Linked DNA regions of Lonchura striata. The protein of the gene in region 1 binds, or shares a complex with, the protein of each later gene. Links are inferred from orthologs where the notes say so. Each region holds a gene or a part of one and is shown on either strand. Other genes may lie near its edges.

Region 1 (7,287 bases):
CCAGCTCCACATGTGGAATGGAGCAAAAACATGCTTAAGTGACAGTGGGTTCAAGCCCAGAGAGACTTACAATCAGAACAGATCAGACAAAGAAGAAGTCTTTGCTTCACAGGCAAAAGAGCAGCTATCGCAGTAATAAACACTACTAGTGAGTCAAAATAATCATGACAACTCAACTGCCCACTTGAGTAGCTGAGCACAGCTGGTTCACTTAGAGCAAATTATTTGACATAGGTTTAATTAGAGTAATTATCAGTAGCAATGGGAAAAAGCAGTATTTTGTGTAGGGACCTACATGGGTTAAGTGTTCAAGAAAGATTAATAAAGCACTTGTAGCTAAAGGAAAACACCAGAAAAATGGGAAAATTACACACAGATGTATAAAGACATCAGATGGTCACAGGAAAAAATCCCATGTGTGGAACTAGCCCTTTTTCAAAGTTTCATCACTGAACAGGCATTTTAAAAGTGCTTAGGCTCACTTGATCATCTCATGGTAAAGCCATATAATGCAGCATGACAAATTTCCTTCATAAACACATGTGGTATGTTATGATAAATCCTGCTTAGACCGGACATAGTGGGGGAAAAACGGGGACTTGTGTTCACAGCCACATTCCCATCTCAAATACCAAAAGCAGAACTAAGTATTAATCCTCAGATAGTGGACAAAGAATTACATGAGAATAACAAACAAAAAAGAGAGATTCAAGTTGGTATGCCCCACATGAAAAGTACTAGTAACATCCTTCATGTGAAACAAATCCAGGCTTGGATCCAGCAACAGAAAGAACTCTGTATGAGTCCTAAGGCATATGTTTAAACTATAATGTCTGTATTTTAGCAGCTCATGAGCATGAGAATGCTCACACCAAACAACTCCGGTTTTAAAGGGATAGCTGCAACAGCGAGATTTAAAAAGCACAGCTTCTTGAGGCTCTGATACAACAGGCAGGTTTATAAAAATACACATATGCAGAGAAATGTTGTGGTAAACTCACTGGAAAGACAGTGTTTTGAAAAAGTGCTCCTTCCAGTACTTTTGGATATGCAGTGTTGTTAGAAAAAAGGCTCATCTCCCAAACTGTTCAGCACTGTATAGAGAAAGCAAAGTTTTCATAACCCTATCAGGCTTACCAGCTAAGGTACTGAACACACTCAATAAAAAAAGGAAAAATTTGAACTGAAAAGGTCAACTTGGAGGCTATATCACACTAAAAAGCTGGCCTCATATGGAATATTCCATGAATATGCCACTTTGGACAACTAGCTAATTGCTGTCTCTGGGAAGTTTGGTTTTAAGATTTTTCCACCTAGTAACAGTCAACCTACCTGCCCATAGTTGTCTATGCCAGTTACTAATCTATTTAAGTTTAATAAATCAAAAGCTGTCCTTAGGGACTGGCCAAGAGTCGTAAGCCCTTCAGCTTGAAGGTTTTTCAGTTCATTCATAAACGTTGCATGGTTTTCCTTCCAGCCAGCCTGCAAAGAGAAACGTGAAAAGATTTATTCCACAGATAGAAGTTTTGCTTTCTTGTTAGGCTACAAAGAGCCTTCCCTGCTGCATGCAGCTCACTACAAATGATAACAAAACACCTCAGAAGTTAGTAGTATTTGATGTTGCTCCAAAAAAGCCTAAAATGATGCATTTCTCTTAATCCTCAGAACTCCCATTTACCAAAGGCGCATTTTCACTTTGTTCCACAGGACAGTTCTCTGAGGACACCGGTGCCCAAACCTTAGAGTTATATACATCACCTTCCCAGAGCCCTGCCCAGATGGAAGCCAACTGCGCTGTGAAGCGACCTCCAACAGGTTCACCGTCCTGTGTCATGTGGACCCACCGCCCCCTTCCCCCGCGTCGCCCCCGCCCTGCCGCGGCGGGGCCAGGGAAGTGCCGTCCCCTTCCGAGTCCGGGGCTCTCAGGGCTGAAGTCGGTCGTTCTCCCGGCTCGCCCCTTCCAAGCCGAACTCTCCTTGGAGTTGCTGTCACTTCTCCCAACTTGAATACATATCCCCCACAGTTCATTGCTGCTCGCACACACCGCACAGGGGAAAAGCGTCGGCCATGTTGATGTCAGCGCCGCCGCCGGAGCCCGTGTGTGCCGCGCTCCCCCGGACCGCCGGCAGCCGCGGCGAGGCGGGCGCGGGGCGGACGGGCCGGAAGGAGGCCGGGGAGCAGGGGGGTGAGCGGGGGTTACCTTGATAGCGTAGGGAGGCTCCTCGAAAGTGACCAGCATGTACCTGTCTCCCCTGCTGGCCGGGTCCCGGGCTCGGAGCTGCGGCGCGGGGGACAAAGCAGAGGGTGAGCCGAGAGGCGGCGCCGCCGCCGGAGCCCCCCGGCTCGGCCCGGCCCTCCTCTCCCTCCCGCACTCACACGCACTCGCTCGCTCCCGCCCTCGCCCCGCGCCCCCGGCCCAGGCAGCCCCCCGCTCCCTGCCGCCCCCTCCCCTCCCCGCGCAGCCACTCTCGCTCGCTTTCTCTCGCCTCCTCTCGCAAGGCAGAGCCCGGTACCTTCATGAAAGTCTCTACAGCGCCTTTGGCTATGTCCAGATAGGTGGTGCCCAGATGGGTGCGCTGGTTCATGGAGGCGGACGTGTCTATCAGGAAGAGTAAGATGGGCATAGTGCGGAGGGGCCGGCGGCCGGACGGCTACATGGACAGCGGGCGGGGGGCTGAGGGGAGAACCGTCAGGGGAGGCGAGGGGAAGGAGGGGAGAGAGAGAAGACGGGGGACGGGAGAGGAGTAAGTGGCTGTGAGTGCTGTGCACGGGGAAGGGCGCCTCCCCGCTGCCCCTCTGCCGAGGCGGGGGGGAAGGGGGGGCAGCCCTGCCTGCCCTGCCCTCCTTTGTGTGAGGGGCCTGCTCAGCCCAACACAGGCTGGTTTATGAGGGAGAGGCGGATAGGGCTGCGCTGCTGGCTAACCTTCCCCCCACCACCACCTTCCTCCTCCACCGCCCGCCCTCCCCTCCCCCTGTTGATGTTACTCAGAAGTTTCAGGCGGAGCAGCCGCAGCCCCGCTACCCCAGCACTTTCTCGCTCTGACTGAGGCGCTTCCTCGCTCGCCTCCCGCTTTTAAGGCAGCCTGGGTAGGTCGGCCCCGCCCCCAAGGACACGTCCCCGTCCCACGTGACTGTCTCCCAGCTCCACCATAGGGACCCTGTAGCCGCTCATTAGCATATTCAAATCGGAGGGGCGGGGCGGCCGCAGCCGGCGGGGGCGCGCAGGCGCAGCCGCGGGCGGGGGGGCGGCCGGGGGACACGGGGCAGGGCGCGCTGGTGCGCGGCCCCGTGGGTGCGCTGCGGGCGCCGGGCATGCGGAGGGGCAGCGCGGGAGGGACCCGCGGGGAGAGGGATCTGACGCCGCCGCCCCTCTCGCTGAGCTATTTCGAGGGCTGCGGGGTGACGCGTCCCTCGGGAGCAGCGCCCTGCCCGACCCGCCCGCTCGGGGAGGGCGGGGGTGTCCCCCGGGGAGCGCCGGGGCGGTAACTCCGGCGCTGGCGGCTTGTCGCCGCCGGGAACGGCGGGTGAGTCACGGGGGTGGGAAGGAAGGAGGGAGGGGAGAGGGCGGGCACCGCCCCCCGCCCCGTCTCCGGGCGCCGCCGGTCTCCTTGGGGCTGCGGCAGGTCCCCGGCTGCCCCCGCCGCGGGTGCTGCCCCTGGGCGGGACGGGGCAGTGCCTTGGGGCTCCGGGACAGCGGGGCAGCAGCCGGGTGCTCGGCAGTGCCTCCGGTCCGCGGAGCCCCGCCGGCGCCGCGGGAGCGGGGGATCGCTCCTCAAGGGAACTTCGGCTCCTGGCAGACAGCACGGGGGTCGCCTGGCTTGTCCACTGGGTTTAGGGTGGAGAAGACGGTCTGGTACCATTTAGATGATGAATTCCCAAAGACATGATCTGGCCTCTCACTCGATCCTTAGGGGATAAAAAATTGGCTAGCCTTAGCTGTGACCTTTTTCCTTCCATAGGAGCAGTGATTAATACTGAGGTTTCATCCATGCTAATACACTCCAAATTTACTTCTTATAAATCTTGTAATTATGGACTGTTCCTAACCAATTAAAGGCAAAGATCTCTGTTCTCGTTTTTTGGCAATTTGTTAGGGTTTGGGGTTTTTTTTCCGCAGCAATTGAGTCTGCTCTTTATGCTCACAGCCTTGGAGCAGTAACTCTAGAGCCATTTCTTAGCATAATCTGTTCAGGAGAATGCTCTGTTTCCTATCTGACTGATTTTTTTTTCCTTCCTGATCCAGCTGATGTGCTCCCTCAGCTACTGCTCTAGAAGGTTTAAAGCAGCTGTGCTGCTACCCTCTCCCAAGACAAAATTAGCAGTGTTCTGGCTTAATTCATCTTGGTCTTCCAGGCAAGATTTGTGTCTTGTTAGGCAAGAACTTGATTTGGCTTTTCTATTATCTTTTTTTTTTTTTTCCCTTCTTTTTAAGACTAACGGAAGACTAGCATTTCTAGGAAGAGAGAGGGATAGAATCACATTTCCATTGCAAATAGGTATTCATTCTTATGCTTTCATGCAGCTTATTTTGGCTTTCCTGTTGGTGCTGCACCTGTGACCTGTGCCATCCTTTCTTAGGCTTTGGGGTGAAATCAAGGACACTTCCTTTCAGCCCAGTTTACTATTCAAGGCCGTTAAAATATCTCCCATCTTAAGGACCCTGGGAGAGCTGGGAAGGAATCTTTGGAGTTGGTGCAGTCCAAAATACAGCAACTTTGGCAGTAACTTCTTTTACTATGATTATTTTTCACTGTGGATTATGTTGCTGGTGATGAGAGTGGCCAAGCTCATGTGTACCCAGTGGCTCTTGAGCTGCTTGTGTCTTTCCAACTGTTCATTATTAGACCTCTAGCAGTGGTACTGGGTCTCATGGCCTGCATCAAGGCTGTTCTGGTACAGGTTCTACTGTTTAATCTGAATCCCTCTTGTCAGAGGGAGAAAACCAACAGGTGCCACAGAGGGTTTTTGCTGGGTTACTGGCAATGCAGCTGCATGCCAGTCCCTGTTACACAGTAAAACATTTGGACTATCAGAGAGGCTTGGTTCACAGTCATTTTCTCTCCACAGAGATATTTTGGGACACCTTCTGTCCCCTCAGGTCCCCAAAGAAAATTAAAGGTATCTTGAACAGCTCCTAAGCAAGACTGGTTGCTGGAAGAGTAGTAATTGTCTCCCTAAGGTGGTGGGATTAAAGTTGTAGGCTGCAGTGCTGCTTAAGCAAATCATGCCTTGGGATTAGTAGTTTTATTTGGGAGTAATGTTGACTGAGGGTATGATAATGGCCTTTAATTATCTGCCTTTTAAATTTCTGAGATAGGCACATTGTTCAGACATGCCATATTTGTATGTTGACCATCCTAATAAAATCATAATCACTTCTATGTGTAAAACATCATGCATATTCTTGGGGAATGGTCTGAAAAATGGGAAACTTCTGGAGTGGTTCCTTTTTCAAAGGGCTGGAAAATAGGCATTTTGGAGTCCTTGTCATATCAAGAAAATGTCATGGTGGAAGCAGCCTGTACCATGAAGATGTTGCCTAAATCCTGAAAGGCCATTTGTTATTTTTATTTTTTGTTGCCAGTAAATGAAGAGAGATCAGCGAAAAAGCCATGTTCATTCATGGTGGTAGTTCTAAACCAGCATGGATTCTGAGTCAACTTAGAAAACTGCAAGCTGTAGGCATGCTGTAAATATCTTGCCAATGCAAGAGAAAAGTGAGACTGAAGTAGCTGGACCCACTCTACCTCTAGTTCCCTCAGCCCTAGTAATTATCACTGATGGAAGAATCCCACAGAAAAAACTTATACACAGTTCCAGTAGGATTCATACAAGGAAGCTAATTCACTGTACTTTTCTGTATGCCTTTTGCTGTTATCTTTGAGGCCATTTGGAGCAATCAGTCCTTCCCACTCCTATGCATCTTAGATCCATATTAGATCTGCTATAGGGCAGAACCACGGCCAGGTGTGTGTTGTCTGTGGTAGGCGTTGGTACTTTGCTGCTGGGAGCAGGCCAATTTGATTAATACTGAGAAAGAATCTGTCAAAGACAGGTAATCAACCCAAGCCTTAAGTGTGCATCAGTCTCTTGATGTGAGAGTCATAATGGCTAGTACTGCCATCAGAGTTGCATTTATAAATCTATGTGGGAGAATGGCTGCAAAGGAGCAAACCCCAATGATATTAGTGCTTATGCTCATTACTGCCAGAGCTGACACAGCTGAGCAGAGAGACAGAGTGAGGCTGCCACTGAAAATAGATGCATCTTTCTTTTAACTTTTTTTAATATGTTGGGCAAACTGATGCCCCATGCGAGCCAGTTCTACCTTCTCTCCTGAGTCAAGATGAATGATTTAAGCAAGATTCTGGCTGGAGAAGTACTCTTGCTGTCCTCATGATCCAAAAGATTCCACCTGCTTCCATACAGGTTTGTATTTCTTGTACATCCATGAAGAAGCATGAATGTATATGTATGCCTAAGAATATTTGTTTTCTCATCTTCAGAGAATTGGTGTTGCCCATTTGGGGACAAATAAGGTAGTATTGAAGGTGCAGATTTACTTTACATTTGAATGCTAAGTCAATAAACTGAAAATCAAATATAAGCGTAAAAATATACCTAAACCTCACCCCCCGTCCTAAACTTCATGCTTGAATGGAAGATGCTGCATTAATCAACTTCAAGCAGGTCTGAGAACTAAAACTGATAGTTTAACTTTTTTTTTTTTAATTGACTTTTTCCTCTGTATGGAATTATTTTCACAAAGAAAATTTCCAGATCTTAATCAGTCCGGGTCCTAATGATACAGGGAAATTTTTTGGAGTTTCCTTTAGAATATAGTTCTGTAGCCTTTTCAATTGTCATTAAACACTTCCCCCCATATTTAACAGTCATGTTTTCCATTTCCTTAATTTAATTCTACTGCATATCATTAAAACATATTTCTTTATACAGCATTCTGAGTTTAAATTTATCTTTTAATATTTGTGTCTTCTTTTTTTTAGTCTTCCTTTGGCCATGTTCTCTACATTGAACTCACTTGCTTTTTGATACAAATAAAATTTTATTGCTTACTTGTCTTGCATACATAACAGCATGTATTGTTGGGGGGGGGGGTTGTTTTGTCCTGTAGGGGTTTTTTACTAGTTTCAATGCAGGGGGGTTTGACCCTAATTTTTTTTTTTCCCCTCTTCCTGAAATTCTTACCAAAGATGAACTGATTAATCTTATAATTCAGGTAACCTAGGTAAACAGAAGACTTTTTTTATGTATATTCTAGGACTT
Region 2 (7,620 bases), on another chromosome or scaffold:
AAAAAGGGAGATTAATAATTTCATTTTCTACCTCTGGTCACAATAATGTTAACACAGGACTGCAACTGTCTGGATTAACAACCCTCAAGAAGTCTATTTACATACATTCCTCAAAAACCTGCTTTAAACTCTATTTAAATAGTAAAACTGACTAAGCCTCAAATATTAAATTCAAAATATCACAGAGAGTTTTGCTTTAAATTCACAAAGCCTTAATTATTAAGGAGTTACATTACATTTTGTCTTTTAGTAAAGTTTAAAAAAATATGTAAAGCCAAGCTGCTGAAGGAGTGAGGAATTCACTTGGTTTATTCACAAATGTAACACTCTCATGTGAAATTAAGTTCTCACCAGACCAGAACTTTGACAAATGAAGCTATAAATTGAAGTAAATAGAAAGAAATGAAGGGAAAAATAAGTTCTATTTTTGTAGCTTTTAAACTATTGGTAATTAAAAAAGGCAATGAAATATCACCACTTTTATCAGCAAAATATTTTCTTGCCTTTTTTTGTAATCATGAGTAGTATTACTACCCTGACATCTATGACCTAACTGGAAAATCTTTCTTTTTTCCTTCTTTAAAAGCAGCTAAAGTCATCTCTCTCCGTGGCTGTCTGCTGAGGCAAATGGATTCCTGGGAGTCAATGGATTCTTTCTACCAGATTCAAAGACAGTGACAGAAAAATAAAAAAGGCAATTTGTATTTTCTATACAGCTGTTTGCACAAGTGACATTGCTGGGCCTGCACCCCTGTTAGACTTTTGGATCAGGAATCCAGGAATGGAAGTGTTTGCACAATGTGTGTCTCTATACACATTATAAATGTGATAATTTCCACACAGTTTATACTTGTTACTATTTAAAACAGATCCAGAGCTTTCATATTCCTGACTGGATTAAAATGCAAGTTTTTTATTCCAAGATTTGCTTGCTTCTAGCTTGATTCCCTTATGGCTAAAGGCTGGTGCAGCCAACACACAAAGGTGCCTCATCTCCTAACTCCAAAAGTTAAAAAAAGACACAAAATACGTAAAAGGCATAAATATACCCAGCTCACAGCTTTCCTGGCAGGATTTGCAAATTGGATGAAAGTTTGGCAGTGGGGCAGTGGTTGAGGGGCTGGTTCCAGATGCTCAGGGCCTGGGAGGGGCAGGTTCTCCACACACATCCCATTCCATGTGCATCTCATGGAGAGCAGAGAGATGGTGGCTCAAACTTGCAGCTCCAAAACATTCAGAGTTGTGCAGGTTAAAGGCAGTGCTTGGAACTCCAAGTGAAGCAAACAAATCCTGCAGTGCATTCCTCCAGTATTAGTATCACATGCCAGCTTAAAATCTGGGGGGAAATGAGCACTGAGGATTGCCTGAGTGAAAGCACATTTGAGTTTGTGGGAGTCTGAGGTTTTCACCAGATTCTGAATCAGATCTGCAATCAGAATCCCAGAATGGTTTGGGTTAGAAGGGACCTTGAAGCTCATCTTATCCCAACCCCTCTGCCATGGACAGGGAACATTCCACTAGTCCCTCACCTCTACCCTGTTCTTCCAAATTCAACCCAAATCTATGAGAAAAGAGGATAAAGAGAGGATAAAAAAGAGGACTTGTCTCCTCACAACCCCAAATTCAGACACATCTCCAGAAAAATATAAGGTAAAATACCTTGTCTTATAATTCTCAGTACCTGAATTTAAAAACAATGCTAAAAATGTTGCAATACAGACTCCAGAGTTTGTATTTCCCCTCTCTACCCCTATGCAAGACTCTCAACATTAGAAGAGCTCTCCATTTACAGTGGGGTCTTTAAATAAAGATTTCCCAGTTTGCTTTCTTCCACTGAATTCTATCAGCCTCTACAATCACATCCAGGGGTGCTTGACTTTGCAGTTTTTGTCCCACTGGTAATAGCCATCCCTGCACAGATCCTTATCACACAGGTAAGATTAAGCAGGATCAAACTCCTTGACCACCTGCCTCTGGAATTAATTGTACACACTTCCACGGAGAGTGGTTTCCTAAAGGTCTTAAACCAGAACATTTACTTCTATGAAGCTTTGTTATAACACACTGCTCAGTCTCAAAACCAAGAGACAATCTTAAATTGAGTAATGGTGTCGCTTCAGATTAAATAAATCAAGTGTTGTGCTCAGGTATGTTGAAAACTGCTTGGGTTTTCACCTCCAGACCAAGAAGTGCAGCACATTATGTGTAACTGAAATTCTTCCTGGAAAAAAAATCGGCTCCTGAATCCAAGGTCTCCAAGAATGTGAAACAGCTCAAGAGAGGAGACCAATATCATGGGTCATGTACATTCTGACAGAAGACTGTAATATCAGAACCAAAACCCCTGTCAGAAGCAAGGTGCACCCTTAGCAAAGCTGTTCCAGGCTGATTTTTTTTGTTGTTGTCGTTAGTACCTCCCTGTATTATCACACTGCAGATGGAAAACGTCTTCATCACAAACCACAGGCATTTATTCACGTTCCTCGCAGAGTCCAGCAGAAGCCACACGTGCAAGGGGACAGCTCCGAACCAGACTCATGTTTAAGGCTGGGAAGGCTGAGAAACATTTTCTCCTCCTCTTACTAAGATTTGATCCTATCCAACACCTTAAACTTGGGCAACGCCCCCCCCCCCCCCTTACCCTCCCCACTCAGGGCCGACCCCCGCCTTCCCCCACACCTCAGGGCCGACCCCCGCCCCTCCCTCAGCCCCTCCCCGCCCCACTATCACCCCCTTATCCCTCAGTCCCCCCAACTCCCTCAGCATCTCCTCCCCCACCTTTTCCCTCAGGCCCCACTCCAGCGCCTCAGTTTCCCCTCACGCCCGGCGAGGCTGAGACTGCGCAGCCAGGAGGCGACCGGGGGAGCGCCCCCCCCGCCGCCGGGGGAAGGCCGAGCCCCCTCCCCGCCCTCATGGCCGCCCGCCCCGGGCACTCACCAGCTTCATCGCGTCCACCGGTTCTATTTACCGGGACAACCCTGCCCGCCTTCCTGCCCGCCCGCCCCGCCGGCCCCGGGGCATCATGGGAGTTGTAGTCCCGCCTCCCCATCGTTCTCAGATAACGTCATGGCCGCCCGACGCCTGCTGGGAGTTGTAGTCCGCCCCGAGCGCAGCCCCGCCGCCCCATTGGCGCGCCGCGCGCCCGCGGCTCTCTGGGAGTTGTAGTCCCGGCGCCGCGGGTCTCCCCGTCACCCTGGGGAGGGGGGAACTACAAGTCCCAGGGTCTCACAGCTGCAGCAGGTGGGGGCTCGGATGTTGATATCAACATGGCGCTTGTCAGACAGACAAAGACAGTCGGTCTGGTGTGATTGAGCCAAAAAAAAAAAAAAAAAAGCCCAAAAAAAAAGAGAGGGAGCGGGCGAGGAGGAGGGAGCGGCAGGAGGAGCGCCGGGCGGGGAGGGGGCTGTGTCCTCGGGGGGCGTGGGGGGGCTGAGGGATTTCCTCCCCCCTATTGTTCTCGTCCCTCCGCGCCCCCCGTTAATCTCCCCTCAATCTGGGGCGGGGGCGGGCGGGGGGACCCCCCCAGTTCCGCCGGTCCATGGTGAGGCGGAGGCGCCGGCAGCACCCAGAGGTGAGTGTCGCGGGGGGATACGGGGGGGGAGCGGCGGCGGCGGCGAGGGGAGGGGGCGGGCGGGTGGGTGGGCTGGAGGGAGGCAGGGCAGCGGGAAGGGGTCTCCCCTCCGCCCGCACCGCCGGGAGTCGCGCCGAGCCGGAGAGCGGGATGTGCGTGAGGGGGGCAGCCGGGGGCGGGCAGGGGTGGGCAGGGGCAGCCCCTCAGCACGGGCGGCAGAGTTGGAGCCGCGGCTTTTGGGGGGCTCCGCGGGTGCCCCGGATCGGGGGAGGAGGAGGAGGAGGAGGAAGGTGTCCCCAGGAGGCTGCAGCGGGAGGGCAGGGCGCCTTTGGGGTTCGCTGCTCCTGCCATTTGTATATCTATTCCGATTCCTCCCATCTCCCCGGTGTGGGGCACGGAGTGGCGGCCGCGGAGCCCCCTCAGCCTGGGTGGGTGCTGCGGTTTTGGGGGTGTTTGTTCGGGTGTTGCTCGCCGCGGAGTTTTGGGGTGAGCTGGTGCGACCCCCGGCGCTGTCTGTCCCGGGGACCCCCGGGGACGGCAGGGGAAGGAGGGAGGCTCCGATCGGGGATGGAGCCGGCTACGGAGCCCCCTCGCTCTGCCGGGGAGCTCTGCCCTGGCTGGGGCTGTTCGAGGGCTCCGGGGGCTCCTTTTCGGCTGCTTTTCGGGAGCTTTGTGCCGCTGGAGGTCGGGGAACGGGGCTCAGAGGTGCCCCAAACCCTGCCGTTCCCAGGCTTCGGGAGGTTTTCTGGGAGGGCAAAGGCGTGAAACCCCCGAAAGGTGTCTGTGTGCCGGAGAGTTTAACGTGGGAACGGGTGGGGGAGGAGGAGCACCCGGAGGAAAGTCATTCCCAAAATGTGCGAGGAGAACTTGGGTGGGGTGTCAGACGCTTGTTTGTTTTGTACTTCTTGGGAAGAGGTGGGGAACGGGGGTGGCGGGTGAATGGTTTTGTGTCCCGTGTCCGGGATGGTTTTGGGTCAGCACGGTTTGACCGCAGGAGCGGTCGGGGGGAAGCGGCAGGAAATTCTGCTGGAGTGTTTGCCTCAGCTTCGGGGTTAAAACAAAACAAGATGCGAGTATGTTTAGGTGCCGAATACACACCCGAGCCAGACCCCGCCGAGTTCCTCGACCTCAGTTTTGTCTGATGGGTTCTTTCCTTTCTTTCTTCTTTTTCCTTTCATTTTTTTTTTTTTCCCTAGTTGGTGGAGTGCCTCTTGGTATGTTTGCAGAGCACTCCTTCGGAATCATTTTGTTCTTTGAGATAGGTCTGGAAAAGCCTCGGTTGGACGTGCTGTTTTTTCCCCCAGTTCTTTCGTGTTAGGGACAAAAAAAAAATGCTGTTTGGGGGGTGGGGAAGGAAGAAGGAAGAGGAAATGAAGGTTTAAGCATGTTTGTGGAGTCGGGTCTGTCTCAGTTCAGGTAACTCTGGGAGTGTGATTCGATGGCTTTTAAGTACAAAACGTTTATGAACAAAAAACCGGGGAGATTTAAACTTTGTAGGGAGGAAAGCGTTAAAGTGATGGCCAGGGAACGCGGATCTGGGAGACGCTACTTACGTCCCCTGCTTCTAACTAGTGGAGATAGAGGGAATGAAAAACTAAAACACTGGGGAAAAATACCCCTGCAATTTGTATAAATGATGCCATGTAAAATACCGGAGCTAGGAATTGTGCTCTGCAGACAATTGTTGGGCTGGTGAAAGCCTGAAGTGCCTGCTCTGGTCCCGTGATATGACTCGCTCATTTCTGCAGGGCTCATCAGGTACAGGCTCTGCTTCCTTCCTGGGATGGTGCAGCTGGCATTTGATTTCCTCCGTGGATGGGAAAGGAGGAGTCCTGTGCAGTTTTTTTTTCCCCGAGATGATTGCATTTTCTTTGGCCTTGCTGTACCCTGCCTCATTAGTAGGAACTGCATCTATACTTATTTACCATTATACCGTGTCCCTTGGGAAGCAGGGTGTAGTTTGGAGTAGGTATATATGGATTTATCACTCCTAATATTTTTTTTCCTCCCATCGTGCTAAGACCAAATCCGTCAACAGCAGAGAACAAACTTAATTTATTTCTGTGTTTCGCATCTCCCTTTTTACCATTTCTCTTCCAAATTGCTAAGAAAACATCTCTGAGATGGAGACGGGGGAGAGGGAGGAAAGGGATGGAAAACGTCTGTGCAGGGATGCATTTGTTATTTGCATGTCTGGGAAAGAGCAGGGTTTGTTTCTGTATGTGAAAACTGGGGTTTGGGAATGTTTTTTCCCTTATGTGAGGATTATTCTTTTAGCCCTGTGATGGCCACAACTTTTTCTGTCTGGTTGAAAGAATTACCCGAGGAGCCTGGGAAGGAGGCTGGGAGCAAGGAACTTGTGTTTCACTCCGTGCTGCCTGTTCTTCCTCCCCTCGTTCCCTCAGCACCAGTGCAAGCACCAGAACAGGCATCAGCATTTTTACTCCTGTGTCATCCCACTGTTCCCAGCAGGTCTAGACGACGTTGTGGTATGCAGGCTGCCAGCTGGGTTACAGGAATGCTATCCTAGGTGAAACAGCAGGATTTTTAAGGAGGGGTAAGGAAACCTGGGAGAAAATCTTGTGTGAATGAGGCCTGGTTTTCTCTACAACTGCTTCACTGAGCGGTGTCAAGAAACTCCGTGGGTTTATTGACCTTTCTGGACAACATGCATCTCTCTAGCATTGTGATTCTGATAATTCCATGGAGTCTGTAGCTGCTGTCAGCTGCAGGGAGCTTATTTTTAAGGCAGTTTCTGTGTGGGTCTTACTGATCTCTTACAAAGGGATATTAAAAGTTGATAGCTGTGCAGTGTTTTGAAAATTAAATTATTATAAAGTGTTTACTTTATAGTGATGAATCCATAGGTTCATGGGAGTGTTTGGTATGTTTTTTCATTGCTGTCTGGATTTGGGAAGAGTGAGGCTCTGAAATTTGTTTTTAATACTAATTTACTTTTTAATAAAATGTATTTTTTTTAAGCGTGACTGTCAAGAATTGTTCTGTCGTTCACTTTTGGGATTGCTCATTTTGTGTTGTGTGTCAGTGGGGCAGGGGTGAAATTTGGGTCTTTGGGTGGAGAATTGGGAAAATTAATGAAACTGAACCATGAGAAAGGAGGAAGCTGTACTGTTCCTTGTACCAAGGGATTGGGGAAGGTATTTGGTTGTATATGTTAGAAACCAAATGAATTTTCAGGAAACAGCAGCACATTTTAATCTAAAGAAAGCAACTTGTACTTCACAGCAATTTCTGTGCAGAGCTTTTAAGGACATTACAGAATGACAGGCTACAGTATTGGCATCTGTAGCAAATCTTTTTCATCTGCAAAGTTTTAGAATTTGAAATCAAAATAATGTCAGCTTAAGAATCTCACTGCAAAAAGACAGATGTCTTTGTTCCTCCTGTCGATAACTTCATGCAGCTTTGATTCTAAAGTCCCTGAAGTTTATTTCACATTATGCTGATTTTAACAGAGCGGGGATTGGATTCTGCATACATGTCCTCATGGGATTGGGCTTTAATTATACCTATGCTGATAATATGATCTGGTGGGTTATCAATGCAGTGAGACCAATACTGTGATTACAGCAGGATTTTTAGGACATAATGAGGAGAATTTGATTTTTTTTTCCAGGAGGGGGTCAGTGTAACTCGTAACCCTAAAGCTGGTTTTATTTGTAGGATTAGTAATAAACTATATTTTAGCATTCTAATATTCCTGTATTGACTAAAGCTCCCTTCTGATTTGTATTAAATTAGGATGGCTGGGTAACAAAGTGTACTAAGAGTTTGTGTCTGAGCACTCAGTCATGCAAACGGGTTGTGTGGTAGCTGTGAATGCAATTCCCAGGGTTAATGCTAAAGATAAGTGTTTTGACAAATGCTTTTAATTTGGGGAACAATGCAAGCAAGAATGACAGGATATGAAAAGAAAGTGCTATTTTTCCTCTCGCAGGTGGCAAACAAAGGTGTAGAGGGATCAACTTGCCCAGGTTCCTACAGGGAGTCCGCAGCAGAACTCGCAATCAGTCTGTGATCTCAAGGGT

Evidence for each region.
Region 2: INTS6 (region 1) and INTS9 share a complex: the UniProt entries of both Homo sapiens proteins name them as parts of the integrator complex. The link is inferred for Lonchura striata from reciprocal best matches to the Homo sapiens genes INTS6 and INTS9.

The regions. Positions count from the first base shown.
Region 1 is NC_134604.1:63,358,450-63,365,736, forward strand, and holds the start of INTS6 (integrator complex subunit 6), read right to left. Parts: upstream 3,039-7,287; 5' UTR 2,986-3,038; intron 2,923-2,985; exon of another isoform or gene 2,675-2,922; 5' UTR 2,625-2,674; coding exon 2,514-2,624; intron 2,279-2,513; coding exon 2,201-2,278; intron 1,483-2,200; coding exon 1,333-1,482; intron 1-1,332. UniProt on the Homo sapiens protein: Component of the integrator complex, a multiprotein complex that terminates RNA polymerase II (Pol II) transcription in the promoter-proximal region of genes.
Region 2 is NC_134605.1:111,908,716-111,916,335, reverse strand, and holds the start of INTS9 (integrator complex subunit 9), read right to left. Parts: upstream 3,039-7,620; 5' UTR 2,947-3,038; coding exon 2,938-2,946; intron 1-2,937. UniProt on the Homo sapiens protein: Component of the integrator complex, a multiprotein complex that terminates RNA polymerase II (Pol II) transcription in the promoter-proximal region of genes.